Linked DNA regions of Astyanax mexicanus. Each later gene encodes a partner of the first gene's protein in a complex. Links are inferred from orthologs where the notes say so. Each region holds a gene or a part of one and is shown in the gene's direction. Other genes may lie near its edges. The genes, in order: sike1 and slmapa.

Evidence for each region.
Region 2: the proteins of sike1 (region 1) and slmapa are in contact, whole or in part, in a crystal structure (PDB 6AKM), measured with the Homo sapiens proteins. The link is inferred for Astyanax mexicanus from reciprocal best matches to the Homo sapiens genes SIKE1 and SLMAP. Residues at the interface, in NP_079349.2 of Homo sapiens: Ile5, Ile8, Leu9, Ala12, Lys13, Leu16, Leu19, Arg20, His22, Asp23, Ala26, Glu27, Leu29, Val30, Ser33, Ala34, Leu36, His37, Val40, Met43, Arg44; in NP_001291349.1 of Homo sapiens: Leu168, Tyr171, Leu172, Glu174, Ala175, Arg178, Glu179, Met181, Leu182, Lys185, Thr188, Leu189, Leu192, Leu193, Ile195, Thr196, Ala199, Ser200, Thr202, Ser203.

The regions. Positions count from the first base shown.
Region 1 is NC_064420.1:39,057,716-39,074,514, reverse strand, and holds the start of sike1 (suppressor of IKBKE 1), read left to right. Parts: upstream 1-10,278; 5' UTR 10,279-10,561; coding exon 10,562-10,720; intron 10,721-15,388; coding exon 15,389-15,494; intron 15,495-15,591; coding exon 15,592-15,734; intron 15,735-15,834; coding exon 15,835-15,948; intron 15,949-16,247; coding exon 16,248-16,367; 3' UTR 16,368-16,799. Other genes in the region: si:ch211-197l9.2 (protein SOGA1), read left to right, coding at 2,166-2,212, 3,344-4,790, 5,799-5,951.
Region 2 is NC_064431.1:3,490,107-3,506,664, forward strand, and holds the start of slmapa (sarcolemma associated protein a), read left to right. Parts: upstream 1-8,858; 5' UTR 8,859-10,466; exon of another isoform or gene 10,467-10,551; 5' UTR 10,552-10,643; coding exon 10,644-10,841; intron 10,842-16,558. Other genes in the region: dennd6aa (DENN/MADD domain containing 6Aa), read right to left, coding at 4,217-4,259, 4,467-4,505, 5,839-6,072. UniProt on the Homo sapiens protein: Associates with the striatin-interacting phosphatase and kinase (STRIPAK) core complex, forming the extended (SIKE1:SLMAP)STRIPAK complex.

The DNA.
Region 1 (16,799 bases):
TGAGAGATGTTCATAACCTATGTTCATAATAAAGTAATAAGCCACAAGAACAGATGTGCCTTGGTAGCTTTTGGTTGCCTCGAAATCCTAGGTGGTTACTTTGGTGTAACTGATAACCGGTTGCTAGATGGGTGCTACAGTGTTGCTATGGTATTTCTGAAGGTATTTTAGTGGTGTTATTTCGTTGTTGCTTGAGTGTGCCCTGTTCTTAAATGGTCAGGATCACACAGGTCCACCACAGAGAAGCTATTATTTATTTGGGTGGTGGGACATTCAGTGCGGTGACATTGAAATGCTAATGGTGTGGATCAGCTACAGCAGTGCTGCTGGAGTTTTTAAACACCTCAGTGTCAATGCTGGATTGAGAAAAGTCCACCAACAGTGTCCTGTGAGCAGCTTCCTGTCACCACTAACAAATGACTAGAGGATGACAAACACAAACTGTGTAGAAACAGATAAGCTTCTTCCTCTGATCTTATATCCACAAGTGGGAGCATCTAGAGGGTCTAATTGAATAGACAATTAATGTTTAAAATTTCCATTAGGGGGTCATAATATTATTCTTGATCAGTATGTATTAGAAATAACTAACTATCTCACTAACTAACTAACTAACTAACTAAATAAATAAATACATTGAGTATATATAATCCTATTTTACAATACCTCGAGTTAAGAACCGAAAGTGCCTGTTTTATGTTAGATAAGCTATAAAACCTTACACTGTGTGAATATTTATCATGCCATATACAGCAGGACCAAAAGACCACTCCAATATATTAGATTAGTTCCCTTTAAGTCTGTTCTTTGGAAATAAACAGAAGGAATTTTAGAAATTCTGCCAAAACAAGAAAAAAAAAGTTATGAGAAGTAAAATATAAAAAATAATATTTAATCTTCAAGTGCTGCCTCTAAAACAAAAAACTCATTATTACCGAATGTGTAGTTGAGATGCCAGTGCTACGTACACATTTAATACCAGTTATTATTATGCATAAAAAAAAACATCATACTGCTCATCCATTGGCCACGTTTCAAACTGTCGCTCAGGAAACGAGGGAGTTAGGCACGTATGTGTGAGGATGGAATTTAGGCTAATCCTCTGTTGGGACTGCAGTACAGTAGGGCAAAGCGCAGACATCCACTGCAATCGGGACTTCAGGAAGTGTTTAGCCAGAGCACACTGACCACAGCCAGCACTACACACACGATACAGAACAAAAAAACAGTGAATATGAATTACACTGAGGATGAAACTTACAACAGGACATCATCAAGCCTCAGTCACACGCATGCAAAATCTTTAAAATAGAATTTGGGTGTAGTAAACGACCACAGTATACAGATGAACACACTGTAACTAACTGCTTTGGGGAGAAATGAGGCTTGAGTCTTCGGAATTTGTCCAAGATTTTTTCTTGATCTCTGAGTGTTTCTGCTCTCACTCCTCCTTACTTTACTGACTGTAATCCCTCACTCTCTGACACACTTTTCCTAAATAAAATCGCCATTTTCCAGTAGTTTGTGTGAACATTGCTAGCACAAACTAAAACTGTGGGCTGCCAGTAGTGCTAGGAAGGGTAATTGAATTTACTCCATATATGAAATGATGTTTTTTAATGCTAAAGTTTTTAAAATGAGGTCAAAAAAATCCCCATATTTTACATATAAAACCTGCATGAGTGAATCTACACTTTTTATGCTTTACTGAAATATTATTATTAATTATTATTACTGGAATTATTTTTGTACCTTGTTTAATATAAAAACTGTTTATAAGGTTAAAATAAGTTACTTGTTATTTATTTATTTGATTTATAAAAGTTGAAGTGTGCTTATACAGTTTTGACTCCTTTGAATATAAATGTCTAAGAAACACTACTTTGCAAATTTGATAGCCCTAGATGATACTGTTAGTTACTATGTTTTGGCACATATAAAAATAAAACAAACTGAATAAAACTGTCATTCCTCAGCTGTAATATAATTTAAATATAATATATATAATTGATACATAATTCAGAATATCTCTCAGCCCTAGCTGCCTCCATACCCACAACATTCAGTATCAAAATCATACTTTGAGGTTAGACTGCAATTAAACCTACTTTTATTATAAATACAAAATCTTTAACTAAATTGTTGTCATGTCTGCTTGTTTCCAGTCTGATGGATGTAAGACTCCATTGAAAGAAGAAGAAACCAACAACAGGTCAGTTCTATCTCTGTTATTTTCTCTATTCACATGTGTAGCTTTCGTAACACATTTCTTAACCCACTGTGATCCACAAACATGCTGCTCATCTCAGTGTTTCTAATAAAGTGGCAATCTGTAGATTGTGGGTGTCAGAATGTGTAATTACAATCAGCATGTGGAAAATATTAAATAATAATAATAATAATAATAATAAATATTTTATATAAAATCTGGTGATATATTTTTGCACTCCTTATTAGCTTGCCAGCTCTCTTCAGTTCTAACGTTGCCTTCCTGTGGTTTACTGATGCAGAAATGAGCAAAGACACTTTGACAGTCTTATAACCTCATGCTCTCAGTAGCTACTGTAGCAGCGACATTATCCGTGTCACAGTTGAAGCAGGTAACTAGCAAAAGCTGATGGAAAGACATGTGACGTTGCCAGGAAATTTCTCAGAGAGAACTACCAGACCACTCTGTTTTTAAAATGAATATATTTGGTTGTGCACAGCTGATAAAAGAAGCAATTTGATACCTTATATTAGAATATGTTGTCCACTTCACATTCAGGAATACTACTGCTTTCAATTAAAAAGAAAAAGAACTTAAGGACTGGAAGCTTTAATATCTTTGTGATCATATAGTGCAGAAATATGCTTAATTATGCTTGATTATCTCTTCTCAAAATATTTCTAAAATATGCATATGCAGTACTATGAGCCTATGAAAAGTGTTGAAGTTTCCTTGCAACCCAGTTCCTGATTTTTTTTTTTTGATTGACAAAGAAGCCATTTAATTTAAAGGCTGTATTTAAAGTTATTCCAGAATTATACAATAAGTCAGTCCAGTCCAGGTCAGTTTCACAAAGAATATAGAGAAATGCTCAAATCCACCAATCACAGACAAGAGGAAAACAACAGATACACAAATACTGCAATTTGACATACTAGTGAGTTTGTGAAACTCAGAGGGTTAGATTTTCATGAATTGTTTTATAATCAGTGTAGTTCTTGTGAACTTCTGCATTTGTGACTAGTGTTCATAACTGGACCTGTAGCACATTTCTTTCACTGCTCAGGTAATCCAAATTTGGTCCAGAAGTCATGGGACGGTCTAGCAACTAACAGTAATTAATTTTGTTCACAGGACGACTCCCAAAATCTGCCAATCTGCACGTTTTTCTACCAAGAACTGGTTGTACCTCAGTCGAGAAGCAGCTCTTATGGACACAGAAGATCTCTGCAAGACCTGGGACTGTCCCATCATGCCTCCCAGCTTCCCTAATATGAACCTAAAGCAGGAAACAGCTCAGAAGAGCCACACAGCTCCAGAGAGAACCACACTGAGGATATACTACAGTCCTCCCTCAGCACGCAGAATCCACCTCAGTGCTGTGGCAGTAGAAGATCAGGATGAGGGTGAGGAGCCTCGGGATCGGCCAGAAAAAAACTGCCACCGACCTTCATCTCAGCATATCAATGGAGATTCAACCACTGTCTACGAGAGCTGGCTTGGGACTCTACCTCTGGAGTGCAATAGTACAATAGAGCAAGGTTCAGTTGCTGCCATTAGAACCAGCTCTTCTTCTGGTTTCCAAACGCATGGACTATCGTCTCCATCTTGCCTGCCCTTCAGTTTAGAGGTTTCAGCCAACATGAGTGACGACATGAAGGAGATGACAGCCAGTGTCCTTCAATCTTCTCTCCCTAGCACTCCAGAGAGGAGGAGAGGGCGGGACTCTGCGAGCCATATTGTGGGACTTATCAGCACAGGAACCCAAACGAACACTCAAGTTCAACCTCAGGTGAACAGCGTGGGTCTTCAGACCGAGGGTCCTCGAAGCATGTATGCCGGGAAACACTGGTCCCCCAGGGTGACATCATTTGTGTCTGGTCGTGCTCAGCCAATCTCTGCATCCCTGGAGAGGATGTCTGGGCCAACAGAAAGGCTACCAGCTTGCTCTACCTCACCTAAACTCAACCGAAGACACTCCACCTCCTCTCCATTTTTATCTACCTCTTCTTCCTCCACCTCCTCAAATTCCTCTTCTTCCATTACCTCATCTACCCTGTCGTCCTCTTCATCGTCATCTTTAGCCATTTCTTCCAGGCTGGGAACTTCCAGGGAGCGTGGTTTATGGAGTATCTCTCAGTGCAGTTCCAGTTCCTCTGCCTGGGGTCGTTCCAGCTCAACCAGACCCAACTCAGTGTCCGGGGGAGGCAGCGATAAGCCCGCTGGCCGCAAGTCCGCAGGGATCCATAAGTACGGTCTGGTGCAGGAGTTTTTCCGCAACGTGTGCGGCCGTGGAGAGAAACCCAACCCGGGAGGGGAGAAAGCTCCAGCAGTTCGTAGGGATCACGCTGGTTCAGCAAGAGTAAAGAAAGCAGAGGGGCCTACTTCTCGGATTCCCAGCGTACCGCTGGTGCGGAGCGACAGCGTAACCAGAATTGTTAATCGCAGGTTTATGAAACAGGGTCAGAAGGATGAGCCAAGGACTGGACAACTACAAGCTCAGGGTCAGTGCCAGGGTCAAAGCCAGGGCATCAAGACACCCATCAGTAAGGACAAGGGACTTGGTGCTGTCACTCTGGAGGTGAGTGGAATGTAGGGGCTTACAAGGTGATTATGCTTATCATTCCATCCAGTCCAATTTTCGACTGTTTCAGGATGAATTTAATTATTTTGTGTAGTGTATTAGAAACATGTTTTCTTTGGTTTTCCAAATTTCCAAATGTTTTTTTCATTCTTTTCCCATACAATCTGAATTTAAGGGAAAATAATAAAAAGTATTTTTACTCAGTTCTCTATTTTTTTTATTTTGCTTTGCATCTTGCAACAACAATAGGTTGAATTATATTATCAGACTGGAGGAGAAAATTGAGTAAAGATTATTTCTTCAATTTTATGTAAAATGGTATGGAAGAAATTAATGAAAATCAATTTCTTTTTTTCCAAATGGAAAAAGTCAATAATTACATCTAATTTCCTACTGTAATAAATGTTAAACTAACTTTGCAAATATGTCCGAAAGCAGTTATCAGACTGCATTAGCCTTGAAAAGCAACAATTGATAGGTATCTATTATACACTGCCATGAGACAGGATCTAGTATTGTGTGACCTACAGAATACTACACTGACATACGGGATATGCATCTGGAACCTACTGTATTGCATATGGATGTAATGTCTGCTAGTGTCGTTTGTGTGTTTGCACAGACAGTTTTGGCCAGATGCCGCCAGTCAAGATCATTACCACCCACTGCACTGTTGACTGTGGGTGGTAATGCCTTATATAAAGTGCTCCTAATACACATGACACTGTGGATTGAGAAATGTTAAATGCCCAAAAATTCATAATGCCTTGCCATGAGTATGATGGCTAGTATTCAACTTCATTCACAAAACAACACAGATATGGCCATTCCCAAGCAGTTTTCTGCATGATTAACATGATTAGCTGACAAACTGCTATCCCATGACTTGTGGCACATCAGTGTATATTATGGTTTTTTTTTTTCATGAATGAAATATTTAGTATATAAATATTGTAAAATTGTTCTTTGGTCTGGATTAAACATTGTATATTTCCTCCCCTATAGGACGGCCCCTGCGATTGCAGCTCTAGAACTCTAGCATCCTGCTTCGCTCGAGCATCTCGCACCAACTCTCGCCACGCCCACGGTCACTGCAAGCTCCGTCCACATGAATACCCCACAGCAGCTGCTGGGAAACGGGATCCGATTCCCCAGTAAGAGGCGGAGTCACCGTGCACACTGATACCACTGCCCAGCTGACAGGATTCTTTAGAGAGGTGGAGAAGAGCTTAGAGCAGCCTAGATTGTGATGAGGGGAAAAGAACCATGACTCAGTATAAGATATATGGATATATGGATATATGGCTTTCTCCTCCACTTGCCAAACTTTTCTCCTTTTATATGTAGAAAGTGGGTTTCTGTTGGATTGACTGACCTAATTATAGTGTTTAAGTTTAGTGGTTTTAAATTGATAAGTTTTACATCTATGTATTTTCCATGGTTATAGTTATAGTATATTTTATGTTTTTTACTGTTATACAATATTTATATCATTGCCAACAGGCTAAAACCTTGTATTTTCATTTTTGCCACTGTTACCATTTTGCCCTATTGTAAATCTGGCTGTTGTTCTTTATATTGTGTTTCAAAAATTGATGATGAATGGACTGATAAAAATAAAACAAAAATTACACTAATTTTCATTAACTTCTCCTACAGAATAAACATGTCAATGTTTTTTTTGCCTGACTGTATGTACATATATAATGGCATAGAACTGTTAGATGCCTTAACAGTTAACTGTCTTAAATGGATATTAAAGCCATATTATAGACTGTAAATAAATTGAATGCTATAAATCACACTGGTTTGTTTCTGGCTCTTGACCATAAGGGTCTGATTAGTAATTAGATTAGTTTATATGAAAGAAATGCTTATAACTTTGTGGCCTATTGAATGAACTGTACGCCCTCTACTGGCCGTTTGACTGTCCAACTGGGTGTAATTTCTGACCATAATATGAATGGATGTGGATGTAGATGTGGAAAGTTGCAACAAAAAAAAAAAAAACCTGGTATAAACCGATTTATTATACTAGAAAATACTAGAAGTCCTGGATTACTTTTTATGTATTTATTTTTTGATAAATACAGATGGAGGCCAAAAACAGAATAGTGTTAGCAAGCTGGAAAAGTCAAGTCCCTATATACATGCTAGTCAGTCCTGGCTATAGCCTATTTACTCATACACATACTCATACTCTAATTTCCCAGACTTGCAACTATTTTAATTTATTTTAATGTATATATTTAACATATATTAAAGTACATAAAAAGTTATATTATTATATGACACATTTGCAGATAGCTTTTATTTTATTTTTAGTGGTTTAAACAATTCAGCACAGTCAGCAATGTCAATACAATCTCGAAAACCTTATTATTTATATATAATAATTACATTTAATTACCAAATAATAGTATATTTATATATTAACATATAACAAAATACAACATAACTTTAAAAATAGGTATTATGTAATATATTCTTAGCTTGGCTTGGTGTTTGTGTGATGTACACAATAAAAGTAATCAGTCTTTTTTATTTTATTTTTAATATAGGAAAAGTAATTTTATAAGAATCTAGGAATATAATAATATATATTTAACATATATTAAAGTACAACACGAATAAAACAAAAAATAATTCGTATATGATAGATTTGCCGATGGCTTGTTTTAGTGGTTTACAAAATAAAAGTCGTCAATATCACTTTAATAAATTAATACATTATCGGTAATTTAACTTTTTAATTTATGATTTTTTTCACATTCAATTAGCTAAAATAACACTTGGCTTTATATATTTAACATAAAATAAAATACATATAATAACTTTTAAAAATACGTATTATATTTTATACTTGCATTTGTGAGATTTACACAATAAAAGTATTCAATAGTACAATAAATTCTCTGAAATTCAATATGTTATTAAAATCATTTTATAATAATTTAGGAATATAAAAAAGATTAAGAAGGAGTCGTTTAAACTATTAAAAATGGAAGAATTACATAAAAAAACGTGTTCATGATCAGCTCACCGGCAAAAGATGCGGAAACATGGAACGCATGATAACAGAAAGGTTGTCCTACTTTCTTGAGCGTCAGAATAGCTTTTCTCCTTATCAGAGTGGTTTTCGTAGGGGCAGAATGACAATGGACTCAATCCTAGGTTTAGAAGCGGATATCAGGAGGGCTCAGCTTTATAAAGAAGTGGTTGTTGCTGTATTTTTTGATATTGAGAAGGCTTATGATATGCTGTGGCGAGAAGGTCTGCTAATTAAGCTGTCTATGCTCGGAATCGGAGGGAGGATGTACAACTGGGTAATGGATTTTTTAATGAATAGGTCCATACAGGTCAGGGTGGGTACTTCATGTTCTAAAGTGTATTCTATTGAAAATGGGACTCCGCAAGGCAGTGTCTGTAGCCCTATTTTATTTAACATTATGATCAATGATATCTTTTCTGGGGTTAGTCCTGACATAGCAAAATCTTTGTATGCAGATGATGGGGCTCTGTGGAAGAGAGGGAGGAATCTATCCTTTGTTAAGCGAAAGATGCAGGAGGCAATTGTTGGGGTTGAACACTGGGCAAATGAATGGGGATTCAAGTTATCTGTGGCTAAATCCCAGGTCATCTATTTTTCTAAGAGATCAAAAACAAATGAACTTGGGCTTAAATTGTATGGTCAGACTCTGGAACAGGTGAAGGTAATCAAGTTTCTTGGTTTGTGGATGGACTCGAAATTGACCTGGAAGCATCACATTATGAAGATCATAGACAAATGCAAAAAAGGATTAAATGTCCTTAAATGCTTGGCGGGAAGTGACTGGGGGGCTGACCGTTCCTCTCTCCTGTGCATTTATGATGCTCTAATTAGATCGGTTTTTGACTATGGCTGCATGGCCTATAGATCAGCTGCTGAGTCTAACCTAAAATTACTCGATGTAATTCAAGCACAAGCTCTGAGATTGTGTTGTGGTGCAGTTAGATCCTCCCCAGTGGCTTCTCTACAGGTTGAAACAGGAGAAATGCCTTTGCATTTAAGAAGACTTGCATTGTCTACTGTATATTGGTCCAACCTGAAGGGGCACATAGAGAGCCATCCAGCTGTGTCTGTTCTACATGATTGCAGTGCTCCTCTTCATGGTCCCTCAAGGAGTTTTGGGTGTCTGAGCAACTCAGAAGCAGGCGAAATGGGATTGCAGGCTCGTGCTTTCAGCAGTACTGTTCCTATATCAGTGGTACCACCTTGGCTGTTCCCATTGCCTAGGGTTGATTTTTCCCTCCTTAATAAAAAATGGAGTGATGCAGGAAGTACAGCTGTTATGGTAGAACAACATCTGGCACTTAATTATTATGGTACTCTGCAGGTGTATACTGATGGGTCAAAGGATCCTACTGTGGGTTCCACATCAGCAGCGTTTTTTGTGCCAGAATTTCATGTGGTTGTTGGTAGGCGACTGTCTGATAACCTATCTGTATTTTCCTCCGAGCTTGTCGCCATTCTTTTAGCATTGCAGTGGGCTGAGGATGTTTGCCCAATGAGGATGGTGATTTGTTCAGATTCTTTGTCTGCTTTACAAAGCATCCAGTCTGGCAAATCTAAATGTAGACAAGACCTAATTTTAGAAATATCTCAGGCATTATTTCGTTTACACATGCAGACTATTTTAGTTCAGTTTTTATGGGTTCCAGCACATGTAGGGGTGGACGGTAATGAGACTGCTGACAAAGCTGCTAAACACTGCCTGAAGCAAAATAGAAGTGATCTCAATATCCCTCTTAGCAAAGCTGAGGCAAGAGTGGTTGTAAAGCAACATGTTAGAACATTATGGCAGTCTAATTGGGAACATGAACCAAAGGGGAGGCATTTGTTTGCAATACAACCGAGAGTTGGTTTTGGAGGGAGTGGAGGGTACGGTCGGAGGCAGGAAATTGTACTAACAAGGCTCCGAATAGGTCACAGTATGCTGAATGCCTCTTTGCAAATTATACAGAAACACTCCACAGGGCTTTGTCGCCACTGTCCGCAGAGGGAAACCGTGGACCATGTTCTTTTTTGTTGCAATAAATATGCTGTACAAAGGAAGATTTTGTTTTCTTCTCTTAAAGACAAGGGTCATAAAGAATTTTCTTTGACAGGATTGCTTTCTTATGGGGCAGGGATGGGGTCGGTTCATAAACTGGTTTTTCAATATTTGAAAGCTATTGGTATATTTTGCTTTATTTAGTTTTTTTTTTTTTCCCTCTCTCGTTTACTTTCTTTTAGTTTTATGTACTTATTTATGAATTTCCTTTCACCTACATTTTGTTTATTATTGGCCATGTCACTTCCCGAAATCACACTTCACACTCCTGCTCAGTAGGTGGCGGTAATGCACCTTCAGTTGGTCTGCCATCCGCCATAAACCTGAAAGAAGAAGAAGAAGAAGAAGATGCGGAAACACGCATAGCGCATGCGCAGCGGTGGCCTGGAGTCCCTGCAGGTTTATCTTGTCTATCTGCTGTTTGTTTGGCTACAACAGTTCAGTAATAATCCCGTTTCTGATTAAAACTAGGACACGAGGCAGTAAATATGTAGGTTAGCTGATGAAGCTGTATCGGTATTCAGTTTATTAAGCACTGAAGGTCTGTATTTAGAGCTGCTTTTCTGTGTTTACAGTAACTTAAGTTTTGGCAGCAGATCGACACAGGACACTCCCATACTGCCTATATCTGACTGTAGTTTCTGTAGCATATCAGTAGGTTACCTACCTGCGGACATGTCCTGCACCATGGAGAAGGTGCTGTCCGACGCTCGGACTCTGTTGGAGAGGCTGAAAGAGCACGACACGGCGGCGGAGAGTCTGATCGAGCAATCCAGCACCCTCAGCCAGAGGGTCCACAGCATGAGGGAGGTGGGGAACGCTCTGCCGGATAAGGTAGGTTAACTAGTCCAGCAGGAGCCCTGTATTCATTTTTTTTTTTTTTTTAAATCCTACATTAGTACCATAAGTTCCTGCTCATGAGACACAACTGAAGATATCACACTTTAATACAATGTAAAGTAGTCAGTAAACAGCTTTCTCTCACAATAACTCAAAGCACAGCCATTAATTTTTTTTGTTTGTTTTTGTATTACATAACAAAAAATATATATACTATACACTCCATCCCCCAACCCACAAAATGCCAGACATAATACACAAGTGCATTTACATAAAGTCAGGCATGCATATAAAAATATACATATAGTGTTTACATACCTAAACATATATATAACACATGAGTAAATTAGGTTAAGTAATTTTAATACAGTAATTATAGAAAGAAGTAAATTAAATAACAATAGGAAATATTAAATTGACAAATGCCATTAGCATAGCAATCCACCAACTAAAAGTTTTAAGTCTGTAATTGAATAAAAAAAAAATCACATGGACAATCAAATCAAGAGCAAAATATATCAACATATACAACCCCTGGCAAAAAGTATGGAATCACCAGTCTTGGATGAGCACTCCTTCAGACATTTCATTCTGTAAAACAAACTCTGATCAAAAACATGATACAATAATAAGGTCATTCCAAAGTGCAACTTGTTGGCTTTCAGGAACACTCAAAGAAATGAAGAAAAAACATTGTGGAAGTCAGTGAATGTTACTTTTATTGACCAACCACAGGGAAAAAAATATGGAATCACTCAATTCTGAGGAAAAAAGTATGGAATCACTCAAATTGAAGGTAGAAAATAAGGACACACCCAGTCAATTTCCTTTCCCTAAATGGACACCTGCCTCAGATTAGATCTGCTCGTTAGTCTGCAGTTAAAAACACCTGCAGTCATGACACCTTGGAGGGCTGCTGGACGAATTAGAGTGGCAAGAACCATGGCTCCAACAAGAGAAATGTCTCTTGAAACAAAAGAGAGGATTGTGAAACTTCTTGAAGAAGGTAACTCTTCACGCGTGGTTGCTAAAGATGTGGGCTGTTCACAGTCAGCTGTATCCAAGATATGGACCAAATACAAACAGCATGGAATGGTTGTTAAAGCCAAGCGTACTGGTAGACCAAGAAAGACATCAAAGCGTCAAGACAAGCAACTTAAGGCCATTTGTCTTGAAAACCGAAAAAGTACAACTAAACAGATGAAGCATAAATGGGAAGAAGCTGGAGTAGGGCTGGGCGATATGGAAAAAAATCTTATTACGATATAGTTTTTCATATCAGCCGATATCGATATGTATCACGATATAAATCAAATCACTTTCTGTTACACTTAAAGGTTTCTATTTTTACTCAGAAGTGACAGAATAAGGGAGTTATGGACAAAATCACTAGCAGGCTCAGAGCCTTGTGGACAGACACTAGGATGTTAACATCTTGCCAGGTGGGTACAGCTTTTAAATTAATTTTAAAAAGGGGACAAATATATAAACTAAAAAATATGTAAGACCCTTTACATTATATGTCTGTTTAATTTAAATTGCAATAACACTTTATTTATTTTTATAAAATTATATTTAATCAAAAGATCATTCCCCTCCCTGAATGCAGGCAACTACATAAAGCAAAATACAAGAGTATATCACAGTGTTCATTTTGACAGGTGATTTTGATACAGTCTTAGTCTTTTCACTAAAATGTATAATAGTTTTAGTTACATTTTAGTCTATCGGATATTATTAGTTTTAGTCAGATTTCAGTCTAGTTTAATTTTGGTCATATAAAAAGTATGTATTACATATGTTTTACTGTTTTTCTATTTTCTATTTGTTGTAATTTTAGATAATTTACTGCTTATGTTTTTTTTTAAATAAGAGCCTTTAGTTTTTTTTTCATTTAAATTAAGCTAACATTTAAATATTTAAAAAAAAAAGTGGCCTATAATGGAGGTGGGAGGAATAAAGTCAAGTTTCTGAAATGATCCACTTCTACTGCAGTACAGATTTATACTAACATTACTGGCTTTCAGTAGACTAGACTTACATTACTTAAGTGTATTTAAAACTCCAGTTCAGTAACAGCAATGTTTAGCTCAGTTCAAATACAGCTAGACAGATTATATAATCTTCTGTATTTAGTAAAATATCCAGCATAACAGACTCTCTATCTGTTAAAAACTATAAAACACAAAGACAGAGGAGAATGCTGCCCTCAGGGTTTTCTAACAGAAACAGTGAGAGTTAGGAAAAAAGATGGAAAGTGCTTCCTTTCTGTGTGTTTATATACTAACCCCTCACTCGTGCTGAAGTTAACCTTAATTTACACGAAACGTGGATTAACACGGCTAACGTGCGTTACCCATTAGTTTATTAGAATGTAAAAAGCAGTGAAAGCATCTTAGCTAATGATGACAGATTGCACAGATCCCTTTTACACCTAAACATCGCTAACTTTAAACTGGAGACAAGCTAATCTAACTAGCAGCAAACAGAGCAGCGTTTACCTGCCTTCAGAAATCTGAACAAGCTCACCTCTCTAAATATCTTGGAGACGCATGCCTCATATTTAAAAGGTGAGTTTTCCAGTGTAGCGCCGCTGAATAGTATAAATGAAGTTTATCCAGTAAATGGGAGAGAAGGAGCCGCTATGTGAGGAGTTCAGAGTGGAGGGGCTCGGGGGGTGGGGCGGAGGGGGATGGTGGAGAGGGGAGGGGAGGGGTTGTACTGGGCTGAGCAGCAGTTCAGCGTGCTGCCTGATCTCGTGCTGCGCCTTTTCACAACGCTACTTAAACGGGAAATAGAAAATTTAGTTTATCGAATTTCTCGCCCCGACTTATCGCGATATATAGTTTCCTCGATAACTATCGATATCGTTTTATCGCCCAGCACTAAGCTGGAGCCAATGTATGTGACCGAACCGTAAGAAATCGCCTAAAGGAAATGGGATTTCAATACAGGAAAGCTAAAAGAAAACCATCATTGACACCTAAACATAAAAGAACAAGACTGCAGTGGGCTAAGGAGAGGCAATCATGAACTGTGGATGACTGGATGAAAGTTATCTTCAGTGATGAGTCAAGAATCTGCATTGGACAAGGTGATGATGCTGGAACTTTTGTTTGGTGCCGTTCCAGTGAGATTTATGAAGAGGCCTGCCTGAAGAAAACAACCAAATTTCCACAGTCCTTGATGATATGGGGCTGCATGTCAGGCAAAGGCACTGGGGAGATGACTGTGGTTAATTCTTCTATCAATGCACATGTTTACATTGACATTTTGGACAGTTTTCTCATCCCTTCATTTGAACAGATATTTGGAGATAATGAAATAATTTTCCAAGATGACAATGCATCGTGCCATAGGGCAAAAACAGTGAAGGCATTCCTTGGAGAAAGACACATTCAGTCGATGTCATGGCCTGCAAATAGTCCAGATCTCAACCCAATTGAAAACCTGTGGTGGAAATTGAAAAAAATGGTCCACAAGAAGGCTCCGACCTGCAAAGCTGATCTGGCAACTGCTATCAAAGAGAGTTGGCACCAAATTGATGCAGAATACTGTTTGTCACTCATCAAGTCCATGCCTGTGAGACTGAAAGCCGTTATAAAAGCCAAAGGTGGTGCAACTAAATACTAGTGATGTATTTTGAATCATCTTTTGTTTATCTGTTTTTCATGATTCCATACTTTTTTCCTCAGAATTGAGTGATTCCATATTTTTTTTCCCTGTGGTTGGTCAATAAAAGTAACATTCACTGACTTCCACAATGTTTTTTCTTCATTTCTTTGAGTGTTCCTGAAAGCCAACAAGTTGCACTTTGGAATGACCTTATTATTGTATCATGTTTTTGATCAGAGTTTGTTTTACAGAATGAAATGTCTGAAGGAGTGCTCATCCAAGACTGGTGATTCCATACTTTTTGCCAGGGGTTGTATAAACATAATAAATGGAGGGGAACATTTATGTTAACAGTCTTTGCAGCCTTGCTATTTGTTACTCCAAGTATAGTTTGCATATACATTTTGATTTTAAAATGTGTTTTTTTTTTTTGTTTTTTTTTTTCAAAACATTTGAACAATCTCACAATACAAAAACAAATGTAATAGGGTTTTATGGGTGTATAGAGCTTCACCGGTTACTTCTGGAATCCTCTTTCACTCTTCCACTTGATGAGACCACAGAGCTGGTGGATGTTAGAGACCTTGGGCTCCTCCACCTTTCATACTCGGATATAAAATAGTCTCTTTACACATATTGAAAGCATGTGTGCTGGGATGTGTCTCTGAAATATAAAACTATTTTTGAAAGTACAAAATAAAAGTTTACATAGAAAATATTTTCTATTGTAAAAAAAAAAAAAAAAAAAAAAAAAAATAGGAAAATATTTAGATAATATGGGCCTTTCCTTTAAACTTAAACTAGTGCCTAAAACCATGATAGTTCGTAAACCCTTTAAAATATTCTATATTTAAGCATTAAATACACCTAAAACACAAGTCTTACAACTAGATAGGAATAACCAAATCAAACAAATGAGAAAAAAACATATATAAAAAAAGAACTACTAGAAGACACACAGTTAACTAATCTATATTTGCTTTAGAAAACTAATTTTTCTAGGACAATTGTCAGTACATATTTAATTGTTCTCTTTTATTCTTTCAGTACATTGAGGAAAGTGCTGGATACCAGGAGCTGTCCAAATACAAACCCCACGTTCTTCTGACTCAAGAGAATACTCAGATTAAGGAACTTCAGCAGGAGAACAGAGGCATGATTTCTACATTTCTCACATACAATATGCAATTCTAAATCATAGCATCATAATGAGTATTTGCTTAATGCTCTTTTTTTCTGCTGTTCCACAGAGCTTTGGCTTTCCTTAGAAGAGCACCAGTACGCACTGGAGTTGATCATGGGTCGATACCGCAAGCAGATGCTTCAGTTGATGATGGGCAAGAAGGAGCTGGACACTAAGCCTGTGCTCAGCCTTCATGAGGACCATGCTAAGGTGAACTATAAAGGATATGTTATAATACAAGCTTTTACAAATGTGCAGACTATATATCTGGTACACTCAGTACACAACGTACTTCTGGTCTTTGGTCTAGGAGGTGCAGAGTCAGCTGGAGCGAATATGTGAGATGGGTCAGGTGATGCGTAGAGCGGTACAGGTGGATGACCAGCACTACTGCTCTGTCAAGGAGAGACTGGCTCAGTTGGAGGTAATGTTTCAGTCCATGTCTGTTGAAAAGGCATATATTGGCTGGTCTAGGAAAAACTCTTTCAGATGACATACACCTTGCAAGTGTATTAAATATTTAAAAAAGCATATTCTGTCTTGAGGTGTTGATTTTCATATTATTTTGATATTAAAGGGAATGATATGGGTTTTCCTTGTCTCGCCAGAGTGTTCCATTAAAAGTCAAGTATAGCAAATTATATTTTATTGTAGTTTTGTAATACTATGCTGCATTATTTTGTATGTTTTGGTGCAACTGACTACATTTTTATATTTGTTCAGATTGAAAACAAGGAGCTACGTGATCTCCTGGCCATCAGTAAGAATACCCTGAAACCACACAGAGAAGAGACCAGCCAACCCAACGCAGAGCCAAGCCCCAGAGTTACTGACGCTGAATGAGTGCACCCAAATACATGAAGAGCTGCTCTATTTTGAAGCTACAGTTCAGTAGCTTCAACTTTTTCTGTTGTACCATCTCAGGACACGTGTTGGCTCGTATCTGTGTGGTAATGTTTATAGTGTTGACCCTCCTGCTGCCCACTGGCGCACATTTCTACAATGTAGTAACAGAGGTAGATTTGTTTTCAGATTTTTTCTCAGGAAAGATGCACAGCATCCTTTCATTAGTTGACCGCCTGTCACATGCATGTCTCATTTTTTGTAGTTTATAAAATTAGCATTATTTTTAATTTTGCAGTGCCTTGTAAAATATTCAGCACTTTGGGAAATCTTCAGACTTTGCTGTATTGATACAGATTTACATGGTAAAATGAAAAGTACTGCTGAGCTTCTTAGTGTTATATTTGGACATTTGTTTAAATTAGGTTTTCA
Region 2 (16,558 bases), on another chromosome or scaffold:
CTCCATGTAATGAACTGAAAGGAATAGGAAGCAGTGCAACTCGTCCTTTTTATGATATAGCAGCATAAAGGGGTTAAGGCTGATTTCTGAGGGGAAAAAGGACTTGCCTCAGGCAAAACTAACTGCTGGAATTAGACACTGGATACAATAGATATAGAAAAAAAAAGCTGTTTTAAGTTTCATTGATACATATGGGGATAAGAGAAGCTACATATATCATACTGCAGACAGGCAGTAGAGGTGATAGACCTGTGGGTGCTTGGCTTTTAAAAGATATTGTGCTGCCAATTAATTCTACACACATTACTTGATGTCATGGCCTGTAAATGACCTCTGACTTAAGTAGGCGTTACATTAAAGCTCACCTTCCGCGAAAATCCGATTTTTCTTGTTTTTTGTGGAATACAGTAGGTCTCTCTGAGTTGAATGTGTACACCTGCACATTAAACTGTTTTGCAGCCCCCATTGTCTGCAGGAGCTAAGCAAAGAAATCCCCCCTCCCCCCCTCCGAAAAACGGGTGAATTTTGAATTATCTTTCTGCCTACAGAAACTCACAGACCAGCCCACCTTGGCTCGAGAAACTCCCAGAGGCGGAGCTGAAGCGACGCAACATCACCGCTCATCAGTTAGGAGGTGGGAGGCAGTGAGCGGCAGAGCGGTGGAGGGGCGTCGCAGTGCTCCTAGCCAATCAGAGGAGAGATATTTGCATACTGTTTGCATGTATGAATATTCATGAGCAAAGCTGGAATCCGGTCATTGTGGACACACCCCTAAAACAGTCCATTAAAAAAGAGCTATACAGAGACACCTGAGCACTTTTTTTTTACAAAAACGGCTCACATGTCATTCATTCATACTAGAGACCACAACTAGACATTTTAAAATGAAAGAAAAAACGACGGAAGGTGAGCTTTAAATGCACAGTACACACTGTCAAAGAAATCACAAACTGCATTTATTTAGTATTTAATATTAACATTCTCCATTGATTTATATCACAGCAACAGCTCACTAGAAACCATGACTGTAGCCATAAATCACAGCATAGCACTGTTCGTAGCAATTTGTAATGGGTTGGGTTAGCTTTTAGCCTAGCCCAGCTGGATTCCACTATCAGCTCACTCATGTGCTGAACTGTGCTTTTCGTGGAGACACTATTCTGTCTGTGCTTCTAATCATCAAATCCAAAACACTACCTGTAACAGAAGAGAGCATCCCCAAGAAAGCTCCATTATCGTATTTCAGTAAGATGAGAGGAGGATCGATATGACAGCAGAGGCTGGGGGAACACTACAGCGTAAGGTTTACTGTTCCAAACACAGATAGTAGCAGCTATTCATTAACAACAGCAGGCTCAGGAGTACACTACCCACTATACAAATACTCTACTGCTGACACAGGCAGTATGTATATTTACACAATTAATAAAAGCCTATTATTTATGATTGTAAAATCGTAAAGCAGAAAGGCCAACATACAACAGCAGGGCTGGACTATAATGCATTAATTCGATTTTTTTTTATATTGCCACAAAAAATATAGAATATATAAAAGAATCTAAATAATGATTCATTTGAAAGCATGTTAACAAGCAAACAGATTTTTCTTTGGTGTAACAGAAGTGGTATTTTACTACAAATATGTTTTGTAGCATTTCTTAAAAGAGTCACTAAACCTTAAACCATATTTTTTCCATTAACAGCTGAAATGTGTTCTGTTTAAGTAATCAAACATACCAGTCCTGCTTAAAATATTAATAAACATTTTTTTCACCTCTAAAAAACACTTTTATTGTGGTAATTTCTGCCTCTGCAGCGCCCTCTCAGGTTCAACTGTGCTATAGGCCAGGATGATGTCTGCGAGTACATCACAATATGCAGATCAGTCGATCAAAAACACCGCCCCCTGCTGACGTCCAATCATCTGGGTCTCACCGCTATCAGAGGCACACTGCTTCTGCTGCAGCTCAGCCAATCAGCTCTCTTTCCTGCCCCGCCTCTAAACCCATACCCATCACCCAGTACCTTTTACTTTAAAGGGGTTTAGTGCCCCTTTAAAGTGAAAGTCTGTACCTTTTAGGGATTTGGGAATTTAAAGACCTCTCTGGTGAGAATGTGTAATTGCACAAATAATGTGGAAGAGTACTTTTTATAAAGGTTATAAAAGCTGCTGTGTAATATTCTGTGTTGTTAAGGATATCCTTCTGTTCATTTTGCTTATTCCTGAAATATTATCAAACTTTAGAACGTCATACCATCCAACAAACCTACCACACCACTCCTACCAGTATTTAGAATTAATATATCAGACATCACATAGACGTTTGTGCCAGGGCACTGACACCAATAATTAGCATATTTTGTTTCCAGCCAAATCAGAAATCCTGTTTTTTTTTTCAATTTAAAATACCTCCAAGATAAAAAATCTTAGGGATAGTTGCTTTAATACACAGAGTTTAGGATCACACTGGCTGCTGCTGCACTTCTGAGTTCCCACTACAGAAACACGATCGATGATGCAAATGTCAGTCAGATGCTTTAGTTTAATAACAGGAGTTAATTAATTATGAACCAGCACCAGAACCAACCCTCCCTCCCTCCCTCCCTCCCTCCACATCACCATAACCACCATTCATTATAAATAGCATACACTTGGGAGAAGAAGGCACACAAAGGCTGCACACTGAGTCAATAACAGCATTACAGACCTTCGCTGAAGATAAGTGGAAAGGAAATGCAGTCAATTTGCTAAATGTTGAAACATGACTGTAAAGGCAGATCTGCAACACACAATCAGCCGGCCTGATAACTCAACATGTGATCATACAGACTGACAGATCACTGGACTTTGATATAATTACATCTATCATGATCCATGAAGCTTCAAGGCCAGAGTTGTTGTTTAATGCATTAATAGTACATTAGGAATTAGTAGATGTGTTTTTAAAAGCTAATCACCACACTGTTATTTTGCCTTAGAATACAACACACCAAACAACCTTTTTCCTCTTATGGTAGGCTCATTAAAAAATAAAATGAAATTAAATAAATAATAATAATAATAATAATAATAATAATAATAATAATAATAATAACGAATATTAAGCACAACCAAAATAATAACAGGGAACATTTGGCAAATTAAAAATAAATAGATGACAGTGATATGATGTACTTGATGGGACATTTAATCAAATTTTACATATCTTAAGCAATCACCATCTAGCAGCTTATCATTGCAATAAATTTAAAGTGTTATTAGTTATAAGTCGGTTTTATTATAAGCAGGGGTAATATTTCAATGGTCAAGCAAATGCATATATTATATTATAATAACAACGACTATCAATAATTAAAATGGCGATAAAATGATGGGATCATAGTTAAAGTGGAACAATGGCTTATGGCAGAAGTCCAAGCCTGTGTTTTATGTTAACTACAGAGCTGTGTGTCGAGTGTCAATAAAACAATGGTATCACCATAACTTTTTTTTAACAATTTGAAAGAAAAAAAAAAAAAAAAAACATGAAATAGAATGCTTTAAATATTACTATTATTTCAATGTATTTAGCTTTGTTGAAGTATTTCTTTTCATTACTGTTTAAACATGCATTAAACATTCTGAACTTTGGAATTGTGGTGCTTTTTGTTAAAACATTTTCATTGTAAGTTACTGTTGTTTATGCAATAAACAAATGTTTCTTTTTTGTTTCTACTGATTTTTTTATATCGTATAAATCCTAAAGAAAAGTAAAGGATACTCATGAGATGCATAAACAGTCTTCAGTGTTTTTTTCAATGTAGTCAAGAGTATAATTTGCGCAAAAATATCTTGAATTTGTAGTGTGAAGCAAGCTGACTGAATTGTCCCTCTGTACGTCCAAGCTGTGTAGTTACATGACTACAGTTTTGCTGCAATAATATGTTTTATTATAGAAATATGTAGTTCTCTACATATTCTCACCAATGTTTGACATTATTGGTTGCAAGGAACTCCCATGTAAACCCCTCAAAGACTCATTGGATGCAAACATCAGCAGTGACAATGGGTTTGCACTGTAGAAGCAATGTGGTAAAAAAGATTAGTATGACCCAGAACTGCAATGTATAGTCATTTCAGACTGATCCTGCAGTCAGTGGTGAGGTAGGAGCAAGTTTAATGGGGCAGAACTTCAACAAAACTGATGAACTCTCAGAGAAGAACTCTTTCGCTTACCTGAGTTGGAGTCTGGGAAGGACAAGTAGCAGATGCTGGTTTTCTAAAATAAGAAAGAAGTTGGAAACAAATTGTGTACATGTCAACCAAAAACATCTATAACTGTAAATATTTTTTCAGGATTTATACAGTTTCCAATATCTGAAAACATGTTAAACATACATAAACCATTTCTACCGATTCATTTTTGCAGTACAATTCCTACACCCTGACAGACCAAATGCATTAGATGAGAAGAAACAGTTCTTACCTCTTTCTCTGTGAGCTTTGAATGGTGAGGGTATATAACCTACAAAAGAACAGAATTAGAGCTCATTAAGACTCCAAAATAGTTACAGGTTATGCACTGCAAATCTTACTGTACGCTGTCAACTTGGGTCAAAATCTCTGATCTGGAGGGCTGAAGTCTCTCTGGCAGCCATTCATAAGCTTTGCTAGTCAGTGTGTTTAAGCAGAGAAATCACCAATATCTGAGGGACACTGGCCCTCTAGGACTGGAACTCTGAGAGTCCTGACCCTGTTGACTAATGGTGTCACTGTTTAACTGTCAAAACCAAACACAGGTAAACAGCAAGTTTAAAGACATCAGGATAGTCCATGGTTATGTAGCTTTGAACTGGTCATTTTAAATAGAAATGCTGGACGATATGGGCAAAATTAATATCACAATATACTTCTGCATATTCCGATATCGATATGTAAAAAGGTCACCACATGTATGAAATCACACACTGACAGAGTTAGGTGGTATAGTAAGAATATTATATCACAGCATTTGATAAATCAGACAAAAATTATTTTTATCTAAACAGCATCAAGAACAATCATGACAGCATGACAGCCACAAATAAAAAATAAAACTGTAATTTATATTACAGCAATTATTTAACGTTAATATAGCTAATATTAGTTAATTTTGATGTAATGAAAATATATAACCACAAAGGGAGGTAACATAAAACTTCCTCTAAATCTAACTTCTCTGTGTGGAAGTGTGTGTAGTTGTTTGTGTGTGTGTGTGTGTGGGTGTTTGTTTGGCTAACCTAGCTAGCCAGTTTAGGCTAACAGAAAGGCTAGCTACTGTTAAAGACTATAGATATTACCGTTAGCTTAGCCAGCAAGCTAGATTAGCTAACTACATTATTACATATTTAAAGACATTTAAAGTTTTCATGACTGCTAAATACTTACTTATTCATTAGATAGTAAACAACAACTAGTTTACTAGCTAATAAATATTGCTAAATATCTGTTAACATTCATTAATTAACAGACTATCTAGTTAGCTAAGCTAGCTTTAACTATTTAGCAGTGGTGGCAAATCTACATCCAGATATTAAAAATCCGTTCCCGGATTTTGTCTTAACTGCACGGCCACCTCTGCAACACAGGAGCTGCAGCAGAGCTATACAGACGGTTAGAACAAAAACATGGAGCACACTCGCTCTTTCTGGACCTGGATTTGCCATTTATAGCTATTTGAAGCCTAGTTATGGTTTCAGCTAGTTTCAGCTTGTCAGCTAACCATCCAGGCCACTCAAAATAAACCTATTTATCATTACCTATTCATTTTTTATATATTGTATTAATAAAATGACACATAATAAGATGAATATGATCACCTCCACCGCCTGTCCGAGCTCCAGATCAAACCCCACCACACAGATGCAGTGTAGCCAGGCGGAGAAGCGGTCCCACGGCAGCAGCAGCTGCTGCTCCGGCTCCGGCTCCGGCTCGTCCTCTCCAGGCCCGTCCGCTGGCATTTCCTCCGCGGGAGAAATCTTCAGCTCCCGGTCCTCGCCCTGCTCGGCTTCTTCCATCCGCTCCTCCACCTCCTCCGACCCTCGCAAGGCCATGACTGGAGCCCGGGGTGCCCGTTCGCTCGGCTCGGACTCACTTCGAAGGCTAAACTAACTTAGCCAGCTAGCTTAGCCCACTAACGCTGCGGCTCGTATTCCTGTATTCAGAACGGCGCTTACGCTACCTACGTACACTTACAAAAAAAAAAGCGGATAACGCAGCAACGTACGGTAGATAGCTCAGATCTGCAGATCACAAGGAATCGGGTTAATACTGTGGACATGACTTGTAGATCGCAGAACTGTTAAGTTTTAAATAAAATTATTTTATAATAATCTAATTGTACAGTATATTGTACAATTTATTGACCTTATAACAAAAATAATAAATTATTACAAACAAATAAAACATGGGAAAATAAAATAAATAACACACAAGGCTTTCTGTTTGTCAAAAATGCCATCATAACTTGGGTAATTTTTGGGTACTTTGGGTTATTAATCATTCTAAGACAGTTTTATGTTATATTATACTTTAGCCATTAAAAAAAATATATATATATATATATATATATATATATATATATATATATATATATATATATATATATAAAATATTTAATTTTACAGCAAAAAGATATGTTTTTTATTTTTAATTCAAAATATTAATATATATATATTTGTAGTGAAAGTTATAATCAGAGAGAGGACCAATAAAAATATGTTTGGTTTGACTCTATAACACATATTATTGGTTATTATGAACAAAGAAGAAAAAACTCTATAGAATCTGAAGGCTTCCATTTCTTCTTCACAATTGTTTGTTAACAAATCCACCACAGCTTTTTAGAAATGTGGGTTATTAACAATTATAATGCTTTTTATGATTTATTTGGTCGTATTCTTCAAGACTTGTTCTTTATGAATATAATACCAATCATAACAGCCACAATTAAAAATGAATAAAACAATCTCCACCCTCATTAATACATTATAGGTTATACGTTATAGAACAGTGTCTAATGTCTTCTCCAATAATTCTCTAAAAATAAAAATATATATATTTTTGGTGTGTTTTTAAACTTTAAAACTTTGTTTTGACCTGAAATATAACAAGCAATATAACCAGCTGCTCTTTATTTTGTGTAAAAAAAAAACATTGAAATAAAATTTAGATTAAAAATAAAACTCATAGCAAATATTTGATTTTTAGTTTTCCAATTTCCCAGATATGCTGATGCAAACACGGAATGGAATGGAATTTTATTGTTAGAAAATATTTCAGTCTTTTCTACATATAAACACGTACATGCTTTACAGTTTCAAAATTTAAGAAGCTGATTAATATCTGAACTTCTGTGCAATGACTCAAATGTAACACATACTTCATTTGCATAAATAATAAATCATGAACACACTTACTAATTTGTTCTAATTCACTTCCTCGCCAACGCACGCATGCATCTCAGAGACATTTACCCAGACAAACAAACAGAACAAACAGAAACTGGTCTCAGTCTGGACTGCATGCAGACGGAGCTAAACCCCTTATCGTTAGTTTATTGGGGAGTGGAGATGCACTGTCCTGAATATCACAACTGATTCATCCTATAAATCGTCTAAGACCCTCTGGACTAATAGGATTAGCTGTCCTAAGATTTTGGACTTCAGTATGCTCTGCTGGGTATGACAGATGTTCTGTCTAACCCATGACCCCCTTAATGAACTTGAAGCTAATGTTTTAGTGATAAAAACACTTTGTTTGGCCTGTTATAATTATCATAATTGTAATCTCATCACTTCTAGTTTGATGCTGCTCAGCAGAGGCATCTGTTAGCTGATGTATCAGAACTAGGTTGCTGTGTGATTATCCAAACTATAAAGAAAAATATATGGAATTAGTTTAGCCTTATCTGAGTAATATTCTAATCCATATTATGGCAATAACTTCTTAACTAAGTAAAGAAAAAATATATATGAAGGTCAGTCAATCATCCTAAAGTATCCTAAAGTACAGAGGCAAAGACTATCAAAAATGTTATGATGAAACTGGCTCTCATTAGGACCGCCCCAAGAGAGGATGAGCAAGAGTTACCTCTGTTGTACAGGATAAGTTCATCAGAGTTACCAGCCTCAGAAATTGCAAGTTAACCCCTTAAAATGCCAGGTGTATGTGATCCAAAACCCTTTTTCTGCAGTAAAATAACTTATTTACATTCTGAAAATGTGTGGGCTTTGAAATCAGTAACAGAAATCAATCCCAAATTCTGCATGTTTGAAAATAGACGCAAAAACTAGACAAACATAACGAAACAACAGGTTTGGAGGACTGTTTGATTTGTATTCAGAAAAATATTGATTTTTAAAAAGCAAGTCAGGAAAGAGCCAATTTTATGAATGTATTCATTATATTTTGACATTAGCAGATTCACTTACTTATTAATACAATCACAATTATGATTTTTAGTAATGTCCCTTATCAAACATATAACAGCCTAGAGCACCTAAAAAACAGATTTTTTTATTTCTTGGAGGAATATAAGGATCAGTTTTTTTCAGTCACTGTACTTTTCGTTCCTTTTCCAATTTCTATCTTTCTTTCTTTCTTTCTTTCTTACTACATTTATTTATATTCTGCATTTAAACGCTGCACACTGTAGTAAGGGCTAATACACACAGTGGGCGGAAAGAGAGTGAGTGACCTATCCAAGAACCTCATTTGCAATTCTAATAATTAGCATGCCATTGGTTAACTTGGTCACCCGATCTATTTGGTGATTGGACAATTATTTCGCATCAGCGCTGGTGTTCCCTCCCTCTCTCTCTCCTCTTCGCGAGCCCCGCCGGTTTGTGTATTCCACTCCAGTATGGCGGCGGCGAGTTGCGGAGGAGGATAACCGGAGATAAGTTAGTCTGAATAGCCGCTGACGGACTCGCGGACCGGCTGGAGCACTTTACACACCTTGCTTAGAGTCTCCGGGGCGCGGAGCCTCTAACGGACCCGGAGGCCGGCCTGCGCGTGGCGGGGAAAGGACCAGAAACTGCTGTTCCGTGTCTTTTAGCTGGCTGGCTGGCTAGCTAGCTTAGCATCTTGGGCTAGGCTAGGCTGGGCTAGCCGCGAAGCTAGTGAGCTACTGCTGCTAAGCTAAGCTAACAAGCGGAGTAGGGGGGATTTTGTATCGCAAAGTTTATGAGTTAAGGAATTTGTTGTGCATTTTAGAGCTTAGACTAGTCGACAGCTGGGATTATAAGAGTGTTTTTCCACAAATTAAAGCTAACTAGTTAGCTTTATTAGCCTCTACCTCACATATTTTGCTCCTCTTGTCTAGCTAACTGGCTTTTTGGAAATCTCGTTAGCTAGCTAGGTTAGCTATTTCTTGCTAGCCTGCTGCCCAAGTTTAAACCATAACTACGGAGACAGGTAGCGTTAATAAGTTAACTAACAGTTTGTGAACATGGAGACCAAACAGTTTATTCTGTATGTGTGAATGAGCAGCCCGCAAATAAATCAATTTAATCGGATTAAATATCCTATTTTGAAGTCTTAAGCGATTAAGACTAAATTTCAAAGATGTTTAAACATATTTGTGCCTGAATTGTGTCTAAATAGCTAAGCAAGTGGTGGGTGAGAGCTTGACATTTACAGTTAAGTTAGTTAACTATTGAGAGTAAATTGTTTTTTGAATTTAACGTTGGCTAACTGAGATAACTAAATACTCGATACAAGTTACCCAAGTGTGTAAGACACAAGTTAAACTAACTTAACTAGTTCTAACAGAAAATATAGTTAGTGAGTTGGGGACATAAACATTAGCTAGCTAAATTTCAAAGTGGGCAGTGGTTAACTAACTTGAGCTATTCCAGTTTAGAGAACTTGAGTTGACCTCTTAACTTAGTTAGCTGCTTGTTATTTAAATGCACTTGAATTGAACGAATTCCTCTATTTCATTTATTGAAGCACCAACAAAGACGACGGATTATTTTGATAGATAGCTAAATAGATAGTAACTTACACCTAGGTTGGCTAGAAAGCTTGCGAAGCTGTAGGTTTAGTAGCTAAGCTAGTGTAGGTTTACAAACCTCAACACAACAGGTTTCTTGCTACTAAGTTGACTACCATAACTAGCCAGCAAGCTAGCAAAAGATACAAGCCAGATTTAACGTTCAAGGCTACATTTAAGGCTGAATCTGTGTTTTTGTGATCCTATGGTTAGCCACTTAGCTAGCAAGGTGGTGGAAGCTCATATTGTGAGAATCTGAAGGTAATCGTGGCCTGTTGACGTTTAAACCCAAAGCAATGCATTTTTATGGCCGTGTGGAGAAGGTGCAGTCCTAGCTATAGCTCCATCGCCTTGGGTTCTGTTTGACATCATGGTGGATTTGCGAGAAGAAGGGGAGCAGGGGGGCTTGGCTGGCTCTTCCTTTGGACATTAGCGAGCTATGTAAGCGAGGTTAGTTAGTCGATTTGGAAATATGTGCATGTGCATACGTTTGCGTTACACGAGCCAAACACGATACCGACTGTTTCCCTAAAAGATAGGAAAAGTGGAAGGATTGCCATTCTGGATCAAGAAGCCCTGCCTTTCGCCTCTGGTTGGAGTAGCACTCCCAAGCCGTCGTCTTCATCCATGCCTTCAGCGCTGGCCGTCTTCACCTGCCGCCCGAACTCGCACCCGTTTCAGGAGCGTCATGTCTACCTGGACGAGCCCGTCAAGATCGGGCGGTCGGTGGCCCGGTGTCGGCCAGCCCAGAACAACGCCACTTTCGACTGCAAGGTGTTGTCCAGGAATCACGCTCTCGTCTGGTTCGACCACAAGACAGGCAAGGTGAGTCGTGTGTGAGTGTGAGAGAGTGCTTTAGGCATGCACAAACAGGTCCAGCTGGATCATGTGTATGAAATAGCAAGCTTGCTGTGATGTTTTTGTCCCAAATGAGACCCGTTTTGATTTAGTTAACTAACTAGCAGGTTGCTTTTTCGTGACTGCCTGCTGTGGTTTTGTGATTTTCTTTACGTTTTACTATACTGACTTGTTTGAACTGTAGCTAAGTATACTACGTTTCCAAAAGCACTACCTTACCTATCCAAATACTTGAACTCAGGTGTTCCAATCACTTCATGGCCTTGCACATTTGTGCAAGCATGGTTGGCTCTTAGGATCTCAGTGAATTCCAGTGTGATACCCTGATAGGATGCCACCTGTAAAACAAAGTCCACTTGGACAATGTCCTCACTACTAAATATTCCACCGTCTACTGTCAGTGATGTGTTTGGGGAAGACAGCAACTCAGTCACAAAGTGCTAGGCCACCTAGTGCAAGTGGATGCTGATAGCATAGTGCATTTAGTGCATGTCTAGTTTCTGTACAGTCAAGTGCTCCCGGCCTTCAAATTTTACTGCCTTCTTATTAGCTTAAAGACGGTAGTGTGTAGAGAGGGTCATGCAATGGGTTTCCATGGCTGAGCAGCTGCATCCACGGCATACATTACCAAGCTACATCACCAAGCACAGTGCAAAGCATGGGATGCAGTGATGTAAAGCATGCCACCTCTGTACTGGACTGACAGCTGCCAGGAGGACCTGTCTCCGTGCATTGTGCCAAGTGTCAAGTTTAGTGGAGGGAGGCTTATGATGTGGGACTTCCTTAACTTCCTTACTCTTAATGCTTTAGCATACCAACAGGGTTGGAACTAATTCTTTCTCTCAACTTTATGGGAACAGTGTGGGGATGCCCCATTTCTGTTCCATAAATATTTGGATGGACAGTTTGGTGTGCAAATAACTTGACTGGCCTGCAGAGAAACCTGACCTCAACCTGATAGAACACCTTTTGGATGGGAAGACGCGAGGCAGGTCATGTGGTTTAAAGTCATTTCATAACGGCAAGGATTGTCTTATTTAATGTTTTCCTGTGTGCATAATTGATTGATTCAGCACTGATCACATGTAGCCGTGCAAGCAGCTGTTTGGTCTTTTACTCTTTGAAAATATATAGGAACAGGACCAATGTCTTGTGTCTTGTGTAATGAGCACAAAATGCTTGTTATGAACTTTGCCATAGCTGTCTGATTAGGTGTAAGTCTTAGATTTGAGTTCCACCTGTGTAGTTTTTAGGTACAGTCTATGAGCCGAAAGTGTTGTATTTTAATAATTCTGTCATCCAAAGTAATATCTGATTCAATATTTTCATAATTGTAAGAAAATGTTTAGTGAAGGGAACTGATTAGTCCGTTTCTACTCATGTGTAGGTGTGTATGTGGCCGTTGGTTCTCCTTTTCTCTTTGAATGTATAGAGGAACTGAACCCATGTCCTTCAGTCAACCAAAACAAGTTTTTTTTTACAAACTACTCTACCTTTACAGATTGGTTTGTCTGTCTGGTATATGTCATACATTTAGGTTCCTCTTGTGCTTTTAACACTCTTTTAAACCCTTCAGGAATGCTGCAATTGGTCCTCTCTCTCGACTGATATAGAATCCAAACCCATTCTTTCAGTTTTGTCTAGTATATGAGGTCATGTCATAGATATGTGTTTCTCCAGGTAGTAAAAGCCTTCAACATGCTTTTAAAACCCTTCAGAAATGTTCACATGTTGAAATTCCTATTGTGTTTCCAGATACAGCTAATCAGAGTAAAGATGTAGAGGAGACTATAGCTTTAATTTCACATTAACCATGTTTTTGAGCATTTGAAGATTTTATATTAAGCCTTAATTAATAATATTCCAATTTTTTATTTGAACAATTGTCCGTGTTAACGTAATAATGGCCGACTTTGATCCTTAACTAGATTGACTGCGCAGTCAAATCTCTTAATCTGTCTGTTCCAGGGTTGCAACAGTATTAGCCTCTCACAACTATCGCACTGGAGATATTGCCCATGTGGATTATGGTTGTAGGGCAACTGTGTGCCAGCTTCACTCAGCTGTGTTGGACATTTCTCTGATGAGTCAGTGAATGGTGACCTCGCTCTCAAAAAAGAGCACTGAGTGGTTGGCCAGGTTTAACCATTAACCTGTTTTCCATATTCAGCTCTTCTGCTAATGGATCAAACCTGGCTTCTGTAGACATTAGGAAAGATCTTATTACTTTGATGGCTTCGTGTGTCACAGCTGCCAGTACAGGGATCATTTGAGTAGCATGTAGAGAAATGAGCACAGAATATCTGTGCCAGGGGTACTGCCCTGTGCAGATTCAGCAAAGCCCCAGCTCATCAACTTATGATCAACTCTGTCATGAGTTGGATCAGGTATATTGGGACAGGGAATACCCCAACCTGTGTTGATATAGCATTACGGCCCCAGTTATCTGGTTTATTGGATTATCGGATGTGGATAAATCGGCACATAAAAATGCAGGTGTAAATACACTTATGGTGCATTTAAAATATACAACATGCAAATCAAGTAACTCGGACCGCTTAATAAATTGTGTGTCTAAAATCAAGATATGACCAGCTAGTGTTTAATACCTTTAAAAACAAATGTCTGCTTATTTGTACCATTGATATCGAGATATTTTCACTGCTTATTATTCATATTGGTAATAGCCTTTTTAAGTTAGCAGAGAAATGCTTTTTTGATCGTTTTTATTTTTTGGCAGGTGTGCCTACCATGAGCAATATCTGTAAAGCCAGCAACCTTGATGAGTCACAATTGATTGAAAAACATGCAGCTGATTCTAAAGTAAATGCCAGCTCAGCAACAGTCAAGGGCCATCCATGTTAGGGCTGCAACTAATGATTATATTGATAATCGATTCATTTGTCAACCTTTAAAAAAAAGTTGAAACTGCCACCTCATTTCAGGTTGAGCGTAAACTTGCTGAACTTAAATGTACTAAGTATCTTGTATAACTACTTTAGCAGGCTCTAGTAACTCAGAGTGAGAAAGAATTAGAAATTATCGCTAACATTAGCTTGACTAAAACTATGGATTTTTTGGAACTGCTAGTAAAGCTGTCACCTTTGAAATTTAAAGTGAAATTTAAAGTGCAAGTGAAACTTGGGGGGGGGGGGGGAATGTTAATTCTATCTTGTTTAACTACTCTAGCAGGCTCTAACATTAAGTGAGAGAAAAATAGATCTAACTTAATACAAACTTACTGTGAATCTCCTTCACCCATGGCTCCAAAATGCACACTGCCTAATGGTTCTTTACTGACATGACTTTGGTTTTGCTCAGTGCCCCAGCAACTCTACTTATGTGTATAATAACGTAGACCTGTTAGTGATCTATTAGTGATTGTTGTATCTAAGTCAGTAATAGGTTAAATAACATTTCCTTTCAGCCCTTGATCTTTGTGTCTAGTCATTTGACACACTTGAAGATGCAGTATGTTCAGCAGCCTCTTTGTGCTGATATATGGATGATCTATGAATTACATAATTGAATATGTAATTACATAATTCTCCATTATTATTAATAATAGTGGTCTTTATGTTTACTCTTCAACTTTGATATTAGAAGAACAGGCATAATTGAAGTTTGGTCCTTCTTCAGTTAGGTTCAGTTGAGTGCACAGTAATTATAAGATGAATTTCAGCCTTATCTCTATCTGACTCATCTGTAGTATACTGTCAACAATAAATGATGATTTGAAATCAGAGAAGAAAGCCTTCTGACTCTCACGTGTGTATTGGCTTATATTACACTGTGTTTTTCAGTCAACAGGTTATCTTGTCTTTTCTAGGTACAGGGAAGCACATCAGAATCGCTCTGTGGAAACTGCCTGTACACTACCGATGACGTGGCATGTAGAAGTTGGGCTGAAGTGGTGGAGTGATCTTTTAATAGATATTTTCTCTGTTCAGTTTCCACTTTTGTTGCATCGTCAATGATTTAGAAATGCTTCACTGGCCTTTTTTTGTGTTTGAGTATTGAACTCTGGTGCCCCTGCTGCACAGAATAGGCCTGACTTGGTCAAAGACAGTACAAGTGGAGTTAAGATGTCAGTCAAGAGCCTTGGGGATTTGGAGGTTTCCGTTTAACCCATTTAAATCATGGCCTATTTAACAGCTGATTAAGCTGTAAGCGTAACATTGTGCACAATGACCACATGTTTATATATACCATACTGCCAAAATGTTAAGACCACTCGTAGATAAATTGAATAACATTGTGTCTTGGAAATGACATTTTGGATTTTAGATTTTGCATCAAATGCTCAGCTGAAAACATGAGCCAAAAAAGTATTTTTTTGGCTTATAAATAGGTGAAGGCAATAAAGGCTATTGGGTGGAAGTGACATGGCTTGATGACTATGGCTACTGTGTGTCATCAAATCGCATTCTTGCTGCAGACCAGTCAGCATGCTCATGCTAACTCCAGTCTGTCTAAATAATGCTAAAAATGTCATTCTTCATTCAAATTATCCAATATCAGTTTATATAATAAACCCATGATTGATTTTTAAAATCATAATTTGATGCTCACTCCTAATCATTGGGCACGCAAGGGCCTCCTGCAATGAATGTGGATTGTAAATATGAATAATGTTAAATACATTTAACAAACCTCCCATCAATCTGGCGTCCACTATCAGGCCTCGCTCAAACTCCATATATTTATATCTTCTTGCCATGAATATGCTGGCCAGTGATCAACCTCACAAGATAATGCCTCACAACCTTCAAAGGTGTGGGCATTTCCTAGCTGTCCCCTGAGCTAACACTCAAATATCAATTCATTTACATACTGCTGGCCCATTACTATTGGCAATGTCAGTGTGTAGTTTACTGTTAAAACACAGTTCCTAAAGCCATGCTCCTGTTTGCTTCTTCTGGTAACATACATAAAGTTAGCTGGCTCATGAAAGGTGGAGCTTTTTGAACTACGAATCTTGGACCATGTTAAGGCATCCAGTTTAATGGTTCACTTTGTTCCACTTAAAAGGTAGAACATTTTTTGAATGCCAGAATGTTGGGGGTAGTTTTATGGTCTTCAGGAACTGGCCTAATAAATTTAGTACCTCTTGAACTGGAACTGGAGTCAGCCTGACCCTTTTTAGATGCACTTCTTCTGTTTGATCTCTAGTTAGTTTGGTTGTTTGCTAGTTAATCTCTGTTTGTAGTAGAGTACAGCTCGCTAGGCGATAATCCACAGATAGAATAAGGTGCCAAGACAGCCATCCCAACAGTGCCAATGAGGAATTACCATTCAAGCGCACACATTGATGCTTTAGCATGCCAGCATGACCACCTGTCTGCCTTGTGCTACGAAGCATTTGCATTACAGTAGATCTGTCATTCTCAATTGTCTATTTTAGGTAGGGCTTTTTGTAAATTTTTACAAGTAAAAAAAAAAAAAATTTACGTAATCAGATTGGTACAACATATTATAATTGGAGTTTCCAACCACTTCTATTTCTTGTCAATTTTGAAAATAAAACCAAAAGAAAAAAAGCTTAGAAAATCCCTGGCTGTTACAAAAGGTTGTAATTATTGGTATAAAATGGATAAGTTGGTTTATTGTTAGAGAAATATTTATGGTATTTTTCTGTTTTGTCCATATCCAAAAGTGTTTTTTTTTCGCAAAAAGTATTTAAT